2 linked regions of the Arabidopsis thaliana genome follow. The protein of the gene in region 2 interacts with the protein of the main gene of each other region in a biochemical or structural test. Each region holds a gene or a part of one and is shown on either strand. Other genes may lie near its edges.

Region 1 (3,755 bases), on a different chromosome or scaffold from region 2:
TTCTTGGATGAGTTCTAGGGATCCCGAGATTACTCCGAGTAAGTCTCATTGTAAGAAGCCTAAGGATGAAGGACCAACCGAAGAGCACAACAGTAGAAATGCCCCTTCCAACAAGTCAGAACACGCCGAGCCAAGTTCAAATACCACTGAATTCTCTAAACTTATGGTTTGTGTGTGTCTTCATGGTCTTGTTGAGACTCAATTATCTTAAGCTGTCATGTTAGTTTATATGCTTTTGTGATTGAGTTGAAGGTTAAACTATGCAGGAAGGCGTTGTTTTTGTACTTTCGGGCTTTGTTAATCCTGAGAGGAGTACACTGAGGTCACAAGCCTTGACAATGGGAGCCACCTATCAACCTGACTGGAACGCTGGCTCTACCTTGTTGATTTGTGCTTTTCCTAACACTCCAAAGTTCCGTCAAGTTGAAACAAATGGTGGAACAATTATCTCAAAGGTTACCTCTTTGACTCTTCTTATAAGGGATTGTGTGCGGATTTGAATTTCTCCTTTTTGCTGATATTTTATATGATTTCACTGTCTCCAGGAGTGGATAACTGAGTGTTATGCGCAGAAGAAGTTGGTAGATATCGAGCAATACCTTATGCATGCTGGAAAACCATGGAGGAAAAGCAGTAGTCCCCAAGATGCTAATCGAGGTAAAAAGAATTATATTGGAAAGGCTTTAGATAGAATCTCCGTTTTAACCATCCTGAGGTTCATCAAATCACCTTGTTTTTACGTTTATGACAAGAGAAAAGCTTTTCTTATTGCACTGCTTCACTCCGATGTTTAGTTGACTCTGTGAACCTTAATTGATTGTATTCAGAAAAGAGAGAACACCTGTCTAAAAAACCAGAGAAGCAAGTAGAGAAAAAAACAGAAACAAGGGGAACACCATCTACCTCATCCAAGGCATGTTTAAATCTGATGATTTGGTTAACCAAAACGAACCGTATTTTGCTCCAATCAATGGTCTATGACTGTTTATTTCCATATGTTCACAGAATAGATCAGCTTGCAATCTTGTGAAAGAGCCATTTTTTGTTACAGAGGTGAAGAAATGGGCCAGGGATGACCTAAGTCAAACCATCTCATGGCTTGAGAGTCAGGAGGAAAAAGTAAGGGAATTAATATGCTCTTTCAAAAGACATGTTTTCTTGATTGTATGTTTCCGTTATTCTAAAGCCATTGTAACAGCCAGAACCAGGCGAAATCAAGCGAATAGCTGCGGAAGGAGTCTTAACCTGCTTACAAGACGCCATAGATTCTCTTGAACAGAAGCAGGTTAATATCTCTGAAGTCTGAACAATAATAGTTGCCGCCTGTGTACATTTTTGGATTTGTTAAACTTTGATCAGTTTCTTTGAGAAGATCATTGGTTGAATTTATTCTCGAATGTTCTTAATTTTAGGACATTGGATCAGTTACAGAGCTATGGAGCTTTGTCCCTCGTGTAGTGAAGGAGCTTGGAAAGATGGAATCGTCTTCTAAAAAGGAAAATTCAACAGCATCAAAGGAAGAAGTTTGCAAACAAGCAAAGTCGTGGAAAAAGATCTACGAAGCTGAGCTAGCAAAACCGGGCGAAGATGAATCGACCTCTCGGGTTGCTTGTGGCTATGACAGTGATATGACCGTTGAGATGACTGAAGAAGAGATCGAACTTGCTTATAGGAACGTTTCTTTAGAGTGTCTTTAGATCAAACTTGTTTCATTTTGCATATGATCTCTTAAGGAATTCCAAGAATTCTTGTTATACTCGGTTTGTTCGGTTTGAGTAGGATGTTATTACTGATAAAAATTTGAAATAATCCGGTCTGCTTGGTTCGGAAAGAATGTTTCTAATTAGAATTTATTTATGCTGGTTTGGATTCGATTGAGAGATGTAATCGGTTGCAATTAATAAGTCGGTTTGATTTGATACTTTTTAGTGTCGATTGACGATGAATTTGATCGGTTAATACAAATTTGATTTGGTCAATTAGGTTCAGATGTCTCCAGTTTTGAACCGGTTTGGTTCTATCCAATTTAATAACCGTTTTGTAATATCAGACAAACGAATTGAAACCGGAAACATGTACCGATATGGTTAGGATCGAAGAAGATTGATTGAAGACAAGACCCTAATTTATTTATACCCTTATTGGGTTTTGTCTTGTGAGAGTTGTGCCTTTCTTTGTTTCGCAGTAGGGTTGAAGCGGATAGTACGCCACCTCTATCTCTCTCTCACCCTATCGAACTCGCGAAGAACATCTTCTTCTTCTTCTTCTCCGTCTTCGTCTTCGCGAGCTCTCTCAGTAGCGCAATAAAATGGGGGCTTCGCTTCCTCCTAAGGAGGCCAACCTCTTCAAGCTCATCGTCGTATGTTCCGATTCCCTCTCTTTCTTTCTCAGTTTTTACTTTGTCTTAAACATGCGATGTGATGTTCCTGGTCAGCAGAAATTGGAATACGATGAGTTTTATCTGCTCTATTAAACCCTAAATTAAGTTAATCGTCAATGTGTTGGGTCAATAGAAAAATTCGTTGACATATGAAGTAAACTGTGCGGAGTTGTGGTTCCTTAATGTGTTAATTTGATGTACCAAGTTCTTAGCTTCAGTTACTTTTGACTATCGGCTATTATTAGACCTCGATTGCTTCTGGGCTTTTTTAGTCGCTCAGGGATTCGTAGTTTACTTTGAAGAACTTGAAAACCAAGCTTTATCAATATATATATGGTTTCAGCATAGATTTTGGGTTTAACCATTATATTGTTCAACCTGCTTTGAATAGTTGACCTTTTTCTTTATGTAATTTTCGCAAGTAAGTACATCATATATAGTTATTCTGAGTAATCTTATAATGCAGAAATCATATGAGACTAAGCAGTACAAGAAGGGACTCAAGGCAGCTGATGCCATATTAAAAAAGTTTCCTGATCATGGAGGTCAGTTTGTCTTTTATCTAATATCTCCTTCTATTCCTTTGTGATTTAGTGCTAATCTTTTTACTGCTATCTAAATACTTACAACTCTATACTACATACATCAACCGAGATCTCATGACTTGTAGGTCTACTAGGCGCTTCGTTGTCTTGTCTATAGTCTTAAGAATCAATCACTGTTAGAATTTTTATTTTCTTTCTTCCTATTAGAGCAAATAAATTAACTTTTTAGTACAAGGGTAATGCTTGGTATTGTTTAGTTTTGTTAGTAGAGACCAGTTCTGTTTCGTGTTAAACGCAGTTCTTGCTTTTTTTGATTTGTCAACCCTTTTCGTTATTCTTTTCTTTCTTTTAAAACTTGTCGCTCTTATTGTTTGTGATTTTCAGAGACTTTATCGATGAAAGGACTGACTCTAAACTGTATGGACCGCAAAACTGAAGCATATGAGCTTGTTCGACTTGGAGTGAAGGTTTGAATATGCTCTTCAATAATCACAACTTTATTCCTTAGTTTCCAAAATGGTATTTTGTTTTCAGGGTAACATAGGATTTATATACTTCAAATTTTTTCATGCAGAATGATATCAAAAGCCATGTTTGCTGGCATGTGCTTGGTCTTTTGTACCGGTCAGACAGAGAGTATAGAGAAGCAATCAAATGCTACCGAAATGCTCTTAGAATAGATCCTGATAACCTTGAAATACTCAGAGACCTCTCACTTCTGCAGGTAATTATGAGAAAAACTAGATTGAGGTGAATTTATTAGGTGTGCCAGTTATTCTCAAAGCTGATTTTTCATACTTTTTATCACTTTACTTTGTGTAAAGCTTGTT
Region 2 (3,755 bases):
ATAATGGAGAATAAACCTAACCTAATACCTCGAAGAGTTTATCCTAATAGTTGTGAAAGATCAAATCAAGTAATTACCCAAAAAGCTTAACAGGCTGGACTTTCCATAGGATTTGTCTGGCTTAATATACAAAAATGTAAAGAACAGCTTGCATGAGAATGGAAACAAAGGCTAGCACATGTCTTGGTAAGATCTATATAACCTATCGATTTGAGATGCACATAGAAACAAGCATGCTATATATATGAAGCAAATAAATTAGGTGGGGTTGCATTACATTGTATCAAACAGAGCTAAGAATGGAACACATCAAGGTATATTAGAACCTAGCAACTTAAATGCTACAGAAGCCTATGTATCAAATGTGTGATGGAGAGAAGACTTTGCATTTGGATAACACAAGTCACCATAGATGAGACGATCAAGTGTCATATCAGTTGTGCCAATAAAATTTTAGGGATCAATCATTGGTTAGGACTTAGGAATGAGACTAACTAGCTGCTTATGAGGCCTACTTGCAAACTCACTCTCAACCTACCAATGGATCTAGTGAGAGACTACTTGGTTTGGGCCTAGCATGAGCTAAATTTAAAACATTCAATCAGAAGGCTTAGGAAGTTTAACATTCAACAAAAAGGACACAGAGAGAAGAAGGTAGCATTTCAACCGCATAAGACTTCACTGAGATATCTGTACTTACTTTTACTAGAGAACGTGTGTTGCAGTTATTTTTAAAGAGTGAATTCTAAAAAAAAAATAAAAAACAATGTTAGAACTGATCTTTCCTTTGGTAGACACATCCCAGTAGTTGAAATATGTTAATAGTGTTGAAGTTCAAGAGGTGCTAATAGCCAACTTAAACTAAACAGCTGTGACCTTCATTAGCAGAGATGCAACATAAAATGACAAACAGGATAAATGTGCTATTGAAGGCAGATCAGTATACAACCCCAATCTTATGCAACGTTGAAATTATTATTGTTATCATCCTATGAGAAGGAAACCAGAATCAATGTGACAAAGGTAAGAAACGTAAAGTGAATTACCTTGAAGAATCATGTTGGAAGTGGTCCACGGTAAGCACGTTCCTCTCCTGAGCTGAAGAAGACCACAATCGCAGCTAAGATAGCCCAAAGAATGAAACTCAAAAGCACAATGCGGAATTTCACAGTAACAACTCTATCGACCCAGTTAATTTCTGCAGAATTGTCAACTGAACAGATCAGTTTTTTCAGCTCATTGATCTCCCCACGCAAGGATTGCACAGAAGCGGGCAAGTCCACAATCGACTGGATCCGATCAGTAGAAGACGTGTCAATACGAGCCTCCACACTAGTAATGGTTGAAACTGGAGAATCATCAGCCGGAAGACAAATCTCTGGGGTTGACATTAAGTCTAGGCTCGATCCTTGAATAACACTCTGAGGAGAGAACAACATAATTCGAGCCAGTAATCAGTACCCAGACACATAATGGCTAAAATTGAGGTTTAATCTTTCCAATTCGTCATCAAGCGCAGACAAAATCGATTCAATTTTCGAAAATTTAACATCTAATCTTAACGGATCTGAGCGTTTACAAAGCAACACAACGAAAAACTTCGATGGAAACTAAACCTAACTAAAACATTGGAGCGAAGCATATACCTCAGCCTCGGAATCAGAGATCGCACCAGAAATCTGAGAGATCGGACTAAAATCCATCGGATCCTTCGTGCTTTCAAAAGATACGTCGGAAAATGTTGCGATCTGTCTCTTCTCCGTCGTAACCTTCAGTTCAGAGAAGCATTGATTCGAATTTGAGTAGAACGATGTGGGAAGAAGAAAACAATGGCGATTTTAAGGATCGATCTAATAAAATTACCTTCCGATTCTTCATCTCAGGATCCTTGAGTCTCTTAGCTCCGAGTTCTGATGAGCGCGCGAAGCTTTTCCTGGGAATTTGAATTTCCTTCATCTCTCTCCAATGTTTTCAAATTTGGAGCTTGTCAGTTTTCGAAAATGTGAAATAGTGAGTGAACTACAAAACTATCAAGCAAGATAATTTTATTTGTAGTACGCTTCTTACATGGGCTTAAGGGCCGATAACTATTTTTATTCAAGGCCCAATATAGATCGTTCTCGCTCATCGCAAAATTAACCTACTAAACCGGAATTCGGTTCGGTTGTGGTATTGTTTAGCCGGTTTGGTTCCAGCCTCACCCGATAGAATTAGCCTTTAGGGTTTCTAACGTCGAAGCTTGAAACACTATCGAACCTCAAAATCTCTGTTGCCGGAAATTTTCTTCACCGAAACTGAAAGAAGTCGAAAGAGAGAAGAGAAGAAATTGAAGCAATGGAGGGAGCAGAGGAAGCTGGGGCTGAGATAGCGGTTGATTCAAAGGACTTGCAGCAACAAAGCAAAGCTTTCGACAAGCTCACCGATCGTGTCGAGGATCGCCAGCTCGATTCCTCTCGTGTTCAATCGGTATGTAACTCTTTCGTGTCCTGATTTCTGAAAATATTAGGAATTCCGAAATTTTTTTAGCTCGATTAGTAAATTGAAAAGTCGGTATCGTGTTTCAGGCTATGGCTTCGATTGCTGCTTCTAGGGAGGCTGATCTGAATGCTAAGAGGTTGAGGTAAAAACTCTAAGCTTTTCCCGTGTTCTAAATTCTGAAATAGGAGATTATTAGCAATGCTTAATGAAGCTGTAACATAAGTCAAACTCGTTTGTTTCCATTCCTAATTCAGAATTAACTTGATTAATTTGATTACTGCGTTACACTTGTAGTTCAAACTGTAGCTAATCTCTCTGTACAAATTGGTGTTTATCTGTTTTTTTGGGGCTTGGCAACACTTAAGTCTATCTATTTAGACCAAGAGTGTCAATTTTGGAGAATCTGTTTGTTTTTTTGAAATTACTCACATCTAGATAGTATTGACGCCAGATATCAGTTGTGCTGTAATAGCTTTTACTAGAGAAAACACAGCGAGAATGATCAACAAAACAAGTAGAACTTATTATTAATAAGTGATTGAATGTGATTTACGAGTCAATATCATCTTTCGGAAAAGATTAGACTTTTCGTTGTATTTGATTGACAAAGTATTGGAACTTTATGCAGGGAGAAAGAACTGGCCTCTGTGAAGATCAATCCTGCAGATGTTGAGTTTATTGTAAACGAACTTGAGGTTAGCTTCTTTTTATTAGCTTCTTCTATGCATGTGTTCACAAAGTTCTGAAGTTTGTCACCATTGTAAATGAGCAGATAGAAAAGAATGTGGCGGAAAGAACTCTAAGGGAGCACAAAGGTGATGCGGTTGCTGCGACTAGGCAATTGCTTTCACGATATCCTCTATGATGGAGCAGGACCATTCTTTACTTCCAAGGTTTTTTGTATGTTTGAGAGGTTGAGAGCAAGTCTCCTAATATTTAACCGAGTTAAAATTGTCTATTGCTGAACCGATCTCTCTGAGAAGCCCTGAATACAGTTACAATCGATTCTGGGGTGGTGTTTTGTGGTTCTACCTGAAGTTTGAAGTTCAATCTTATTATCAAGATATAAGAATGTGTTCTTCGTTTACTTGGTCTTGGAGCTGTAAAAAGCTTGTGGGATAATCATGGAACATTGGTACAGTACTACTTCAAAGCAAAACAAAATAGAAATACATTCAAGTTTCTAGAAAAAGTTTGAATTAGACTGATGCACAACGAGAACTTCCAAACGAAGGTATTCATTGAAACAAGAAGTTTGTTGATCAACCTGTAGGTTA

What was found.
Region 1: the proteins of AT3G06610 (region 2) and EMB2753 form a complex in vitro, tested with the Arabidopsis thaliana proteins (one study listed by BioGRID).

Annotation. Positions count from the first base shown.
Region 1 is NC_003070.9:30,233,386-30,237,140, reverse strand, and holds the start of EMB2753 (tetratricopeptide repeat (TPR)-containing protein), read left to right. Parts: upstream 1-2,155; 5' UTR 2,156-2,308; coding exon 2,309-2,359; intron 2,360-2,846; coding exon 2,847-2,925; intron 2,926-3,309; coding exon 3,310-3,392; intron 3,393-3,499; coding exon 3,500-3,649; intron 3,650-3,755. Other genes in the region: ATXRCC1 (BRCT domain-containing DNA repair protein), read left to right, coding at 1-166, 267-455, 546-657, 828-913, 1,006-1,119, 1,199-1,285, 1,413-1,697. UniProt on the Arabidopsis thaliana protein: Auxiliary subunit of the NatA N-alpha-acetyltransferase complex. Required for male gametocyte development, embryogenesis, suspensor development and the formation of the quiescent center (QC) in the root meristem.
Region 2 is NC_003074.8:2,058,503-2,062,257, forward strand, and holds AT3G06610 (DNA-binding enhancer protein-like protein), read left to right. Parts: upstream 1-2,112; 5' UTR 2,113-2,334; coding exon 2,335-2,466; intron 2,467-2,564; coding exon 2,565-2,620; intron 2,621-3,106; coding exon 3,107-3,173; intron 3,174-3,250; coding exon 3,251-3,343; 3' UTR 3,344-3,651; downstream 3,652-3,755. Other genes in the region: AT3G06600 (uncharacterized protein), read right to left, coding at 1,056-1,421, 1,647-1,769, 1,864-1,956.